Linked DNA regions of Astyanax mexicanus. The protein of the gene in region 1 binds, or shares a complex with, the protein of each later gene. Links are inferred from orthologs where the notes say so. Each region holds a gene or a part of one and is shown in the gene's direction. Other genes may lie near its edges.

Evidence for each region.
Region 2: the proteins of map3k3 (region 1) and ccm2 are in contact, whole or in part, in a crystal structure (PDB 4Y5O), measured with the Homo sapiens proteins. The link is inferred for Astyanax mexicanus from reciprocal best matches to the Homo sapiens genes MAP3K3 and CCM2. Residues at the interface, in NP_002392.2 of Homo sapiens: Asp2, Glu3, Gln4, Ala6, Leu7, Ser9, Ile10, Met11, Asn12, Asp13, Leu14, Val15, Ala16, Leu17, Glu50, Asp82, His84, Met86, Asn88, Glu89, Leu90, Ser91, Ile92, Leu93, Arg117, Leu119, Leu121, Ser122, Gln123, Asp124; in NP_113631.1 of Homo sapiens: Leu299, Tyr302, Met303, Leu306, Arg307, Ser312, Gln313, Ile315, Gln316, Gln317, Phe318, Ala319, Ala320, Leu321, Leu322, His323, Glu324, Arg326, Glu333, Ile336, Asn337, Gln340, Leu341, Leu353, Phe356, Pro358.

The regions. Positions count from the first base shown.
Region 1 is NC_064426.1:21,052,366-21,059,551, forward strand, and holds the start of map3k3 (mitogen-activated protein kinase kinase kinase 3), read left to right. Parts: upstream 1-4,173; 5' UTR 4,174-5,253; intron 5,254-6,796; 5' UTR 6,797-7,182; intron 7,183-7,186. UniProt on the Homo sapiens protein: Component of a protein kinase signal transduction cascade. Mediates activation of the NF-kappa-B, AP1 and DDIT3 transcriptional regulators.
Region 2 is NC_064408.1:71,268,024-71,275,923, forward strand, and holds the start of ccm2 (cerebral cavernous malformations protein 2 homolog), read left to right. Parts: upstream 1-4,887; 5' UTR 4,888-5,356; coding exon 5,357-5,386; intron 5,387-7,900. UniProt on the Homo sapiens protein: Component of the CCM signaling pathway which is a crucial regulator of heart and vessel formation and integrity. May act through the stabilization of endothelial cell junctions. May function as a scaffold protein for MAP2K3-MAP3K3 signaling.

The DNA.
Region 1 (7,186 bases):
AAATTCAGTGATTCTTAATTTTTTGTTCGACGTCTTGTATCTACATTGTAAATTAGATTTTTTTTTTTTTTCTTTTTAAATTTTTTTGGGCCAAATTATTTACTTTATTTACTTTTCACTTTATTTACTATTCACTTTCTGAGTCCATTAAGAAAGCATGAGAGATGGAACAAATGTCATCATTTGTAACCTGATTACCACAGAAGCCCTTCCTGTTGTTCTAAATGTTGGAGATTACTGTGAAATTGAATGCGCTGTGAGGTTTCGAATAATCATACGCTCTTAACATGAGCCAGAACAATATTTTCTTACCAAGCCGTAGAATAAAAACATTATTATTCTTATTATTGTTAATAAAACACACATCCATTTCAGGTTCTTAGAGAAAGGAGAATTTGTACAGTTTGGGTTTGTATTTGAGCCCAGAACTATTGTCTACTTCCTGGACTGTTCAGATTACTTTGTTTTTTTTCTCTGTAAATTTAAAGTCTGCATTTTTTTCCCATGTTAAATTTTTATTTTTTTGTTAGTTTGTTCCTCACTGGCACAAATCACTGTGTTTACATCAATGCTCCTCAGATATGTGGGCCAAGGTACAAACCTACACCATATCCTGTCTAAAGATTGTGTGTGTGAGTCTTTTCATTTTAATAATCATCAAAAATGGGGGGGGGGAAAGCGTACAAATGTCCTGTCTCTGCCTGAACGTAATCGTAAAGTGTGTGTGTATATGTGGATGTTCAGTAGCTGTAAGATTGGATTGTTTAAGGTAGGACAGATTTGAATAAAACTCTTATTTTGTAAAGTAGTAGACCGTCAGCATGGGTTGAGTGAGCTGAGAGAGAGATGCGTGTTTAAACCAAGTGGATTATTCTCTGTCGAAACTTGATCAGTGGAGTGAATCTGGTGGCCTTAAAACAGCAGGATGTTTTTGGCTTTTTAAGGTGGCGCTTTTACTTTGAATCTTTCATTCCCACTCTGGAGTCTTTCAGCCCCTTCCTCCACAGCACTCTGTTAAACCCAGAGATCCCAGACAACCAAAATGTGATGTCTTTTCCTTACTCCCTTCAAATCCACACCTTTACCCTCCCCACCCTTCCAGTCTTTTGTGTTTCCTTTCTTCCCTTTTTTTAATTTTCATTTTTTGTACACGCTTTTGGAGAAAAGAAATAAAGAAGTTACTGGTGTTCATTTGGTCTTGTGTGTTTCAATTCTTTTAAAACAGATGAAAAATATATACCATTGTTTTTAGGCCTGTAACAATAATTATTGGCTTGCAATTCATACCCCTTAATAAATTGCAGTGTGAAACAATATTTCCAAGTTATAAAGCATATTTTATACATTTTAGGTGAAATAATGGCACAGTGTAGAGCGCAATTACATCCAATAAACAGTTAGCTAGAACACAAAAAAAAGATATATATATATATATATATATATATATATATATATATATATATATATATATATATATATATATATATATATATATATATATATATATATATATATATATATATATATATATACACATTTATATACATATATATATACATATATTACATACACACACACATCATTGAAAGAGCAATCAATAATTAGTTGAGGGCAAATGTTAATGTTCTTTATTTTGTACGTTTAGAATTATGGTAAGGTCTGTAGCCAATAGGGGGCGAGTTAGACTCACTGTGTATGTGTATGTGAGAGAGAGTATACAGCCTGTCTAGCCCGCGGCTAAGCGTATACTCCAGCTACAAAGCTACACAATGTTACAGGCAATAAAATCCACAGCGTTTTAGAAGCTAGTAATAAAAGCCAAATAACTGAAATAGCTTTTGCCTTTTAAACCCTTTCAGGTCACTGAGCTCTCTCCACCGTTAAAACGCCAGTCCAATTATAATTATAACGCCAGCCAATATTAATCCTGGTTTTAGCACGGATTCTTCTTTGTTTTTGCTGAGTAAATGAGCTACTGGGGTCTGAGTTTCCCCTACTGAAATCTGCATTTAGTAACGGTACGTTCACACTGCAGCGACGATTTGATGTTTCATTTCATGATGTCTCTTAATATTAAACTCCTTAATTACGGCAACTTTTAGACTCTTTTGCCCGTGGTTCTGCGCAATAACTGCACACTTTCTCCGCTTTTAGACTCTTTATCCCTTTTTCTGCGCTACAACTGAGCACTCTCTCCGCTTTTAGACTCTTTGGCCCGTTTTCTTGCGCTACAACTGAGCACTCTCTCCGCTTTTAGACTCTTTGGCCCGTTTTCTTGCGCTACAACTGAGCACTCTCTCCGCTTTTAGACTCTTTGGCCCGTTTTCTGCGCTACAACTGAACACTCTCTTCGCATTTAGACTCTTTGGCCCGTTTCTGATACCTAGCATTCAAACTTTGAATCTCACATTATAAAAACCTACTTAACAGCGGGCCAACTTTCATTCTATTTCTAAAATACCGCTCCAAAAAAGGAAACGGGCCGCAAATGGCCCGTGGGCCGTAGTTTGGACACCCCTGGTCTACGCTGTCATACTTTTATCTAAATATCTTAAAAAAGTAAATTTTTGCTGCTGCTGCCGCTCTTCATAGAGAACAGTGGGAGGCATTGCTGTAGTGTGAACATACAGTAAAACAGAGTCGGATCCTCTTTCAGAGGCTGTATGTGTGACGTAAGTACGTAAAGACGCTTGGCGTGACCAGAAGGACTCCTGCGAAAAGCGACCCGAGATCCCAGCTTTTAGAATAAATATATTAGGCTTAGCAGGGATGGTCATTCCAGCCCACTGGTACCATTAAACATAGTATTTTGTCCCTTCTCCGTTCAGAAATGCTTCTGCTCTCAGTGTAGAAACAAAATAATACGAACTGTCACTTTAAGTTGTGGCCCCAGGAGGCAATAGGTCAGATAGACTTATCTGTACATGTGTTAATCATGTTTGGCCAGTGAGTGGCGCTGGCGTGGCGCTTTTCATTTACAATACTGAGAGTCCAGATAAAGCTAAATCTCTCTCAGCTGATCTCTGTTAGGGGAATTCCAACTTTTCCCCAAGAAATAGGTTTTTAATTTTTCAGCCCTTAAGTGTAAACAGTGGGTATGGTGTGCATTAGTTATAGCCAGTTGAGTGTATATTAAGGTTTCTTTACAGTAGTGATGAAAATAATGAAAATAGTGGCCACCCTGATTAGAATACAAATTTAGGCATTTTATTTACTATACAAACCCATCAGTAAACCAACACACACAGTTTTAAATACAGGTTTAAATGTAATGATGTTAATGATTGTTAAATGCTACAAAATCATAAAATCATCAGGGTTCAAAAACACTGGTCTAAAGTATCCATTCAATGCCATGTTTAGTATTAATAATCATAGTGTTACCACACCCCATTGTTATGCAAATTGTTTTGTTTTTGTTTTAGTTTTTGCCTCTGCAAATGTGTGCTTTCTAGTATTCAGTCTTATTTAATTATTTAATTGCAAACTATACAAATACATGATCCTACCAGAACAAGAAGATTCAGGACAGAGGGGAACAGAATTTATCTTTTTGGGCTTTATTTATTTGCATTAGTTATTATATTCGAATTTTAATTCTTAATTTTATTGTTATGGTAAATAAAGAAACAAAAAAAACTAATAAACACATAAATAAATTCTTCACGAGCTTGTGCTCTCTGCGCCTGCTCACTGTTCAATTACAGAATCGCATACAGTGTATTAACGCCGTGATTCAGTTTGGCAAACCGATTCTTCCTAACAGTATTTTACAGTGGGGTCGATTCAAGTGTCGATACGTCGATTCATTGATTCAAGTTAACTACCTCTATTTATCCCCCCTTATAGACTCCACTGTGCATTTGTGTTTATAATAAATGTTTTTTCAGCAATGTTTGAGCAAAATCCTGCTTAGGTGCTCCTTAAGCCCAAAAAAATAAAGTTTGTGAGAATCATTTGTGAGAATTATATTTTATTAAATTTATTACATTACGTTATCTAACATTGGATCAGCCCTCAGTCTATGCCAATTATTGCATAAAAGCGTATATAGGTAAATATATTAATTATAAATACAGTCTCTTCAGATCCAGAAAGTACAAAAAAGGTATATCCTAACAACACACAATTCTGTTCGGACTCGTGAATCGGCTCGATGGTTCGAAAGAACCGATTCGTCTGTCCTAAGGACTCGAATCTCCCTGCGACAGTGGTGTTCGCTTAGCTGCATGAAATGGATGGAAGTTAGTGGACAGTAAGCGGTTTCTATTTTTTAAAAACAGGGGGATTTTTTAAACACTGCTGTAGAATTTCCTGCTGGATATAAGTTCTATTTTTACAACTTTTTCAGTCGTTTTGAAGGAATCAAAGGTTTTTGGGTTCTGGTGTCGATTTGGATTTTTTTCATGTCAGGAAACTCGCAGCGTTAGAAAAGATTCACTCCAGACTTTGCGGTTTTTTGATAAACTCGTGATGTTGAGATGTGTCTGCAGCTTCAGTCGTTCATTTTATGATGAAATATTCGGATTTTTGGACTGAGAAACACTTATTTTACACTGTTCTGTCGTGTGAAGACACAAACACAGCAACGGAAAACGGATTTGACCATCGAGCTTCGTTACTATCCTTAACGTGTTATCTTTTTTTCTCTCACTATATTAGGTCGATAATATCGTATCTTTGGGTGAAGTGTTAGCGTGTATTAGTTTAGTAAACATTTAAGCGGTTTCTGCACTTGTGTATGAGCATATTTTATCTTTTTTAAAGCTCATAATCCGTAAACCTAACTAAGCTAGCGAACTAACTTAACAGTGCCGTTAGTTTTTTTTCAGGAACGGTTTATACCCCGTTTTTTCGGTGCAAGTGTAAACACAGAATTAGTTCTCTCTCTTTTTACCTGAAAAAGAAAACAACGATAAAAAAAAACTTATGCTCGGGCGAACTGACTCTTTCAGACGTGCAGAAAAAAATCTGCAAACTTAGCAGGAAAAGAAGCCATCAGACTCGCGGAAATCGCCCCCCTCCTCTCTAACTCAGCTCCAGCTCAGCTAGGTTAACTGTTCAGCCACAGTTTAAATGGATTTCTGCACCAAATCTGCTCTTTTTGCTTTCTATTCCGGAGTATACGACACAGTTCACATCTAAAACCGGTTTATTACACGGGGAATGCCATCTAATATCCACAGCAGCTTTCTGAAGAACACGGTCTAAACGCTGGAAAGACTCAGCAGCAGTCCTGAACCTACATGTGAGGTAAGCTACTGTATGTAGTTAGTTCTCTAGTTATTATTGTTCGGTAACAGTTAAGCTACTAATGTAATTTTTAAACACAACCAGTCTGCTCTAGTAAAGACTGTGTCCCCCATTAGTCACAGTCCCTTTAAAAAGAGATGCTTGGGTTACTTGTTAGTAAAGGAGAGTGATATAGCCCTAAATATATATCACAACATTTCATGGTATTTTCATGATAAGGATACTCTTTGCAATATGACAAAACACTAAATTAAAACAGACATCCCAATTTGCAAAAATTAATTTCAGGGAGGTATATTGGAAAAAAAATTAGATCACTTTAAAATAATCAGTTTCTGATTTTGCAATTTAAAGGTATATGTTAAAATAAAATGAGCATTGTTTTTTTTATTCTATAAACTTACAGACAACATTTCTCCCAATTCCAAATAAAAATATTGTCATTTACAGCTGACTCTTTGTAGAGAACAGGCCAATCAAAACCCTCTCTGTTTTGCATACGCTTCATGAATATGCACACAGGGAGCGCCTTTCTCTTCCTCTCCCTCTTTTTTATTTGGGTACAAAAAGTCGGTGTCGCCTGTGTGCACGTTTGTGTTCACTCTTGGGCCACTTGTTCTAGATTCCGGGAGATTTTATCTGATTTGCGGGCATCAGGGAGCTGTTATTGATATATGTAGACTCACGCACCCTCCGGGAGACTTGGGAAGTCTAAAACAAACAAACAAAAAAAAAAAACAAATCAACAGTACACTACTAATTACATTCTGTTATTGTATACGATATGATATGGCACACCCCTAACTGAGATATAAAAAAAACACAATTTAAAAAAAAAAAAAAGAAGTCAATAATCCAGAATGTCAGGTCACTAATAATGCACTCCATATATTCAGCATTAAAGTAAAATAAATGATATTGGACAGATGTAATCTGTCTCTAGTAGATATATAATTGGACATGAGAACAGTGTGAATTTTTCTTTTGCTAAAAGCAGCAAAAATGTAGTACTTTGATGTGATAATTAGGCGTGGATGATATGGCACGATATTTTAGGGTATAATATCGTCCACAATATTAAAAAATGTTGCCGATATTATTGCATATAATATAATATGGCACACTACTACTTGTCAGTTAATTAAGTGTTTACAGAAGAGAGTTTGTTTCCTCTGTACATCAATAGGGAGACAGTCAGAATTATTCATCATTTATTTGCCCTGGCATTTTGAATCCTCTAAGGGATTGTATTCTCTTATCCTGCTATTTTAATTTGGACCTGAACAGTCTCTGAAAATACCCTTTGTCTGCTTGTCATAATATTGTGATCTATATTGTGTATTGTAAAAATGTAATTTATTCATGTAAATATTGCAATATTTTTTGTATATTATTGCCGTATCATATCACACACTTCTAACGCTGGTGTACATTCAACATAATTTGTTTGGGCTTATAATGGACCAAATTCTAAAAAATGAAACTAGACAAGTTATGTAATAACAAACGTCTTGTAATAATCATGTGTTTTCTTTGTTGTCAGTTTGTGCACAGCTACGATGCGAAGAAGACGGCGGCTTCCATGCTTCAGAAAAGTGCTATGTGGAGAAGCTTCCTTCACTATAAGATCATGAACTGACAGCAGACCTGTAGGAAACGCCACCACTGTCCACCCTTGCTCGCTCTTTCTGGACTGAATCTCTCTCTGTGGTGGTGCTGGAGGCCGCAGGCCGAAGGGGCTGCCCCCAGAGGCCCGGGGCCCGGGCAGCGGTTTAGCGATGGCATGATTGCTTTTTCCAATCCAGGAGCAAAGAGACAGGATTTCTGGGGACAGCATTGCTGAACTAAGCCAGTTTCCATTTCTTGATATATTATTTTGTGAAGCTCGAGGCAAAAAGAAGAGAAGGGAACACTGCACTGTTCGTTCAGGTGA
Region 2 (7,900 bases), on another chromosome or scaffold:
TTTTGATTGTGTATTAATATCTGTAATTATAAATGAACATGGTAGCTGGTAGATAAGACACTCATTGGCATCCTTTATTTTAATTATTTATTTTTTATTTTGTCTTTAGGCCATTTTTATTAAAGATAAAAAATGAAATAGTTAATATTTATATAGGAAATGTACAGCATTTTATTATGTTTGTAATCACAGACATGTTCCTTCTTTTAAATCTGTATTGTGTGATTTAAATGTGCTACGTAGCAAATAACATTTTCCAGGATTTATTTGATAAGATAAAAGTCCTGGTCGGGAAACGTAAGCGACACGTTTTAAGTTTAACGACGAATTGAAATGCGATGACTTAAAACCAATGAAAAGAAGATATGGGTGGTCAGGAGGTCAGGCTCCACCCCTTGGATCAGATCCAGCCCCACCCCCTGGACTTGTGGTTCTGCAGCGAGGGGTATCTCACAATTGCTGCTGCTAACAAAACCAGTTATGACTGTCATCAACACTCACAAAAAGGAAGAAAACAACAGCAAACATAAGGCAAAGTTTCCCACCTCTTGAGCATTAATAGTTCAGAGGTCCCTCCACTGTCTAAATGCTTTACTAGTGTTTACATGTGTCAGGTCTAAATTAAGATATTTTTCTAATCCCTTTTTTCATCAGTTAGTTTTTGGTGTTCCACATCTACAGCTTGTTCCAGACACAAGTATGTCCTGTGAAGCAGGACGCCAAACAAGCACGCCCCCTGTTGTTTATTTGCTGTAATAGTGTTGTAAGGCTCAACTCTGATTTTTGCAATGGTGGCCTCCCATTCTTTCACTAATGTCTGTAAATGCCGACTGCATGAGTGCTTGATTTTATATGTTGGTAGGTTGCTGAGGTTGCTGTCTGGAACAATTTATCATGTATCACAAACAGTGGTGTGAAAAAGTGTTTGCCCCCTTTTATGATTTCAGATTTTTTTACGTGTTTATCACTCTTAAATGTTTCAGATCATCCAACAATTTTAAATATTAGTCAAATACAACACAAGTGCTGTTTTTATTATCAAGGGAGAAAAAATGCAAACCTACATGGTCCTGTGTGGAAAAAGATTGTAATTATTGTTATTTTAGTCTTTTTATTTATTATATTATTTATTTCCACTATTCAGTTATATGTTTAGCTATTTTTGTATTCCAATATGAAGCTATTTATGTTCGAGAATTCCCTGTCATCTTGGAATAACCTCCCCTAATAATCACTGACATAAGTGATATCAAAGCATTCATACTGTTTTATTTTCAAGGTGTTTATTTTTCATTTAGGTGAGGTAAAGCCTGAACTGTCCCCCAGTTTTGGTAAAATACCACGGTAATTCAAATGATAGAAAATTACTAGTGAATTAAAATAGATTTTTGATAAGAACAGAACATGGTCAACATGAACCATTTAAAATGTTTGCAGCTCTAGATCAACCACGTTTTCATCAAATGCCAATTTTTACCTAAAACTGTGACAGGAAAAGTGAAAATAAAATTTGATTAAAATGGGAACAATTGAAAATCATGTATATCCAAAACCGGAGCTTTACAGGAGAGAAATAAAACTTTCAATAGAAGTCACCCACTAAACATTAGACGTCTTATGGACGTGCAGATCATGTCTATATTGCGTCGGTCGGTCCAAGACCAATTCTGTACGTCTACACGACGTGCAAACTAGGTCCGCTATTTGGACGTCTAACTATGACCCCACTTGGACGTCAATATGCAGTTAAACATTTGAACGTCGGACTAGGTCACTTTTTTGGACGTCATGGGGACGTCTTATACAGGTGCAGGAAATTAACATTATTTAAGAATATATTTATTTTTAAATGTATGTCAAAATTGTTGTTATCAATATTGTTAATCACTATGAATATAGATTATTTATGATTAAGCATCATTTATTTCTAATTATTTATTTGAGTATTATATTTTTATCTATTTAATTAATTAACGAATGTAGGTATTTATTTACGTATGTTTTTATTTTTATTTGGAAATGCAATTTATGTGGAAAATTGTTAAGTTGATTTCAACCAGTCAGCTTAACCAGTTAGCTTAGCGTTAGCTTAGCGTTAGCTAAGCCATAGCATGAAGAAGTAAGTTTATGTTAATATTACATAAATAAGGCAATTTAAAATAGTTTGTTGTGGGAAAAAAAATATTAAAATAGCTTAATATGATGTGTGAGAATTAAAACGGCACGATAATTCTCGTCAGGTGTTAAATGTGTATTCCCGCCTTTAGCTTAGCGTTAGCTTATCGTTAGCTTAGCGTTAGCTAAGCCATAGCATGAAGAAGTAAGTTTATGTGAATATTACATAAATAAGGCAATTTAAAATAGTTTGTTGTGGGACAAAAATAAATGGCCATCTTCAACATTTTCTGAGATTTCTAATTTGTCTTTTTCTACTTGTGCAGATGGAGTCATGAAATGTGACGGGACAGCCACCGAGGACTTAATACTTCGGAGCATCTCAAACATGCACCACAAAGACGTGGAGGACACACCGCTGTCTCTCAGGACCTAGAATCTTAATGAAAGTATAATGATGTTAAGGGAAGGTGTAATGGAAAGGTGTAATGTAAAGTTGTAATGGTGTTAAGGGAAGGTGTAGTGGAAAGGTGTGATAGTGTTGAGGGAAGGTGTAATGTTAAAGGTGTGATAGTGTTGAGGGAAGGTGTAATAGTGTTGAGGGAAGGGGTAATGTTAAAGGTGTAAGTTAATAGTGTTAAGGGAAGGTATAATATTGTTAAGGGAAGGTGTAATGCAGGGGTCTCAAACTCATTTTTGACGAGGGCCACATTGACATATTGGCTGTCCTCTGAGGGCCAGATGTAACTTATAAATATAAGAAAATGTAACCAGATGTAATATAAAATGAATGTAATTACTCCTTAATGTTAAATAACTCTCAATATACTATTTATTCAATCAAATATTACAGTTGCATGGAAAAATGTTTGCTTGTTGCTCTATTAACATAAATCCTTTTAATTTGTCATGTTATGAAATCCAAAAACTCCATCAATCAAGAACCAAACTATTCAAGTGAATAGAAATTACATCAAGTACAAGTTATATTAACTTTGATCAAAACGTTTGATACTGAAATAAGGCTTAATAAATATAAAATCAAAAATTGTGAGCTGTGACAGATTTAGCATTTCCTCAGATTTAGCAGTTCCTCATCCAACCACTAGTCGGAGCTGCAGCTGCAGCACCACAAGCCCGCAGTCTTTGCTTAGTCAGAGCTACAGCCCAGCCACGGGCTACAGGACTCAGCTGAGCCTGTCTGGAGCGTTTTGAAATTTTTTAAGTTCTTCTGTGTATGAAATAAAATAACCCCACTAACCGGATAATACAGCTCTCTACAGTTCATCTTTCAGCCCAAGCAGCTAACAGCAGCAGTTTAGAGCAGCGTCACGGAGGCACTGCTCGGATTACATTATAAACAGGTCAGTTAGCGCGCTGCTAACCTCAGGATGTTTATAACTACGGAGTTTAGTGGACACACCACGGCAGCAAGGTTAGACTGTTGAAGGCTACTGAAGACTACTAAAGCAGGCAACGCAGCGTAAGCAAAAAAAAAAACAAAAACCACACACACACACCAAAATACAAGTTAAGATAAAATATGAAAACGAACATAATAAAGCATAAATAATTAAATTGAATTGCGGGCCAGATGTATGTTTATTTTGTTAACCCGTGAGGGGCCGTATGAAACCGCGTGGGCCGGTACTTTGAGACTCTGGTGTAATGTAAAGGTGTAATAGTTTTGAGGGAAGGTATAATATTGTTAAGGGAAGGTGTAATAGTGTTGAGGGAAGGTGTAATGTTAAATGTGTAATAGTGTTAAGGGAAGGTATAATATTGTTAAGGGAAGGTGTAATGTAAAGCTGTAATAGTTTTAAGGGAAGGTAAATGTTTAGTGAAATTGTTATGGTGTGAATCTAAGGTGTATGTTATGTTGATGTAAAATAAAGGCATTAACCCCAAATGAGATTTACTCATTATGTTTATTATTATATTAATGTTTCCCCAAACAGAAAGGGTCAATTTAAAATCAACAGTGGTAAGATGGGGGTAATTAATTTATCCCTTGCTTTTACTGGTTCTTTGCAGGTTGACATGTTTTGAAAAAAGTGAGAGGGTTGAAATGCAATTTATTTGTAAAGCATATTGTGTATAACTAACGTGCATAACTAGTTCCAGAAGGTTGTGAACCTGTTCCAGTAATTGTTTGGCTTAGCTTTGTATGCGTTTCCAGTTAACTGCTGAAGCTGGAACAATGGAACAGTTGCCACCGTCTGAAATGGCACTACAGTTATGCAGGGAGCCTCAAAGTAGTTGGTCTATAAAACGTATACATGTAAATTTCACGTAGAAAAGACGTCCACAACGACTTAATTTAAACTAGAATTAGCCCTTATCCGGAGGTCTGGGGGACGTCAATACTGGACGTGCAGAAGACGTCAGAAAAAAGACGTCGTCTGGCGTCACAGTCTGCACCTTCAGGAGACCAAAATTGGACGTGCAAAAATGACCTAGAAAAGACGTCGTTTCAACGTCTCTTTGTTTAGTGGGCAGTGTTAAAAGAGTTTATTTCAGGTCATTTAGGAAAAATTCTATTGGTCCATTTATTTAGAAATTTATACACAGAATAAGAGACAGTTTGTGTTTAAATTATGCAGTAAACTTAACATTGAGATTTCTGTTGAGTCTTAAACAAACAGTCAAAAGTATTAAAAATAAACTTTAATTTTATCAGTAGACTCAGTGTTGAGGGCCAAATGCTCAGTGCTGTGATAAAGACAAGAGTCAGAATATGACTTCATTAAAGTTTATAACACGTTCCAGCGCTTAAATCACAGTTGTGTGATAAATGGTAATAACAGTTGGTAGTTTAGAGGTTTGTGTGTTGTGTTTTCAGTAACTTGGTTAAAGGGGATCAGTGGAGCTGTGCTCAGCTCTGTACAGCCATCAAACTCCGGTCTCTCCCTGCAAAGCACACTGGGTAGGCGCTCTACGCCCAAAATGGCGGCAGGATTGAAAAGTTTGGTGGTGTTTTTGTTGTAGTTTTCAGTCCCTCTGTGCTTCATCCGCTGTCTTTCCGACCCCGGGAGCGGTGGTGGTCGGTACCGGGCGGGCTGCTGTTTCCGTGGCTGTGCTGGAGAGGGGATGTGAGCGGCGGGTGGTCGCCCCGAGCCCGCTCTCCGCCGGGGGGACTCTCCGCGGTACACCGCCGCTGCTCGCGGACTGCGGCCGCCGGGCGCTGAACCCGTGACCCTCCTCTGCGCGATTAGAGAGAAGATGAAGAGCTGCTGTAGAAATGGAGGATGAAGTGAAGAAAGTTAAAAAGGTGAGCTGTGTCCCTCTCTCACTCCTCTGAGACACTTTTCATCACTTCAGCTCTCTGTCTGATACCGCGGGCAGCGGGTTAGCCTAGCCACAGCAGTGCTAACCAGCTCAGCAGTAGCCAAGGCTACGATATAACATACAGCTCTGAACATAAATAAGAGACCGCATCAGTTTCTGAACCAGTTTATCTGATTTTGCTATTTATATGTTTGAGTAAAATGCACATTGTTGTTTTATTCTATAAACTACGAACAACATTTCTCCCAAATTCTATGTTAATGTTAGCATTCTTATTTGGAGGATTTATTTGCAGAAAATGAGAAATGGCTGAAACATGCAGATGCAGAGCTTTCAAACTTCAAATAATGCAAAGAAAATAAGTTTATATATACAAAAAGTTTTAAGAGTTCAAAAATCAATATTTGGTGGAATAACCCTGGTTTTTACTTACAGTTTTCATGCATCCTGGCATGTTCTCCTTCACCAGCCCTGCACACTGCTTTTGGATAACTTTATGCCACTCCTGGTGCAAATATTGAAGCAGTTCAGCTTGTTTTAATGGCTTATGATAATCTATCTTCCTCTTGATTATATTCCAGATGTTTTCAATTTGGTAAAATCAAAGAAACTCAATTTTTAAGAGTCTCTTATTTTTCCAGAGCTGTATAATGAACCCCGACTTGCTGACTCTACGTAACACAAAACGACTTAACACAACACAACACACAGAGGAGCAGCTGAAACACCAAAACACCGCCTCACAACCAGCTCAGCTCGGTGTTTAAAACACTGTTATGGGCGGTGATGATTTATGCTAGTGTTTAGAAACAGTGCGTATTTAATAGAGATAAGGTTTAGAAGTTAAACTCAGTGAGGCAGTTGGGTAGAGAGAGAGACTGTGGTAGAACTGGGTGGCTACTTTTATCAGCTGTTGTCACCAGGCTGTAGAGTGCAAATATTCAGCATCCAGAAATTGTCAGTCTGTACACTTACTACGAGCCAACTTTGTCAATGAAATCTTGGTTAACTACTAGTGCATCTCAAAAAATTTAATTTCGTTTCAAGTTACTTTATTTCAGTAATTCAGTTAAAATATGAAACTCATATGATATAGTTGTATTACACACAGAGTGATCTATTTTAAACATTTATTTATTTTATTGTTAATGATTATGGCTTGCAGCCAATGAAACCCAAAAATCAGTGTCTCAGAAAATTAGAATATAAAAATTGTCAGCAGAGAGAAGCATGAAGTGCTGTAATATTTTCTGGGAAAACACTGCACTGACTATGGACTTGATAAAACACATTGGACCAACACCAGCAGATGATATGTCTCTCCAAACCATCACTGATCATCTATACATTTTGCATTTCATTTGGAAATCAAGGGAGCAGAGTCTGAAGGTAGAGTGGAGAGGAACACAGTTCAAGCTGCTTGAGGTCTAGTGTGAAGTTTCTTCAATCAGTGATGGTTTGGAGAGACATGTCATTTGCAGGTGTTGGTCCTCTGTGTTATTCCAAATCCAAAGTCAGACCAGTGTTTTTCTGGAAACTCTTACAGCACTTTGTGCTTCTTTTTCATAATTCATTTTCTGAGACACTAGTATTTTTTAGATTTTCTTTGCATCTAAGCCATAATCATCAACAATAAATGAAAATTATTATTTATAAAATATTTTTTTTCAGGTGCACTAGTAGTTAATAAAGATTTCTTTTGCAGACGTAAGTGTACAGACTGGCAATTGTGGTATACATTTTTCTATTTCTGGATGCTGAATATTTTCTCATTTTTATAGGTTTAATAATGTATTTGAAGTAGAGCTAGGCAATACTGTAATATAATTATTTAAAAAAAAATTAAATGCTGCATAACAACTGATAAGGCAGTTTTATTATTATTATTATTATTATTATCATCATCATCATTATAGCGAGCAGCTCCTTTTAACCTTACATGCAGCTTTTATATTAAGCAGATTACAGACCTAACCTTATATTCTTAGTTAAAGAAAACTAAAATATGTGAATCACTATTCTATATGGGTTTTTACAGGTTTCTTAACAGAAACGCGAGCCAATCTACTGAGATACTCTCTTGCATGGTCTATATGTAAAGATCTACAATCTCAATTACCCTGTTTGAAATGTTCTTCTGATTTAAACGTACAAAAAAGTTCTGATCTTGACAAAACAATGTTTTGTTTTAAGAACATTTGTTATCCTGTCTGTTCTACTTATTCAAAGACCATACTGGAAATAAATTTGATCCTGTATTGGCACTGAAAAATATAATTAGCTTCTGTATAGCTAACAGATTATTAAAATGGTTTATTTTAAAGATAACAACACGTATCTCCTAATTACTCTCTATTTAATCATCTCATTAGTGTGTGCCAGTTAAGGATAGACCTTATAATTTCTTGCTAAGCAGGCACTGCTGCCCATTCCTACTTAAAGAAAATAAGTATGTGGGCTTAACCAGCCCTACCTACATTGTATAATGGGAACTGGG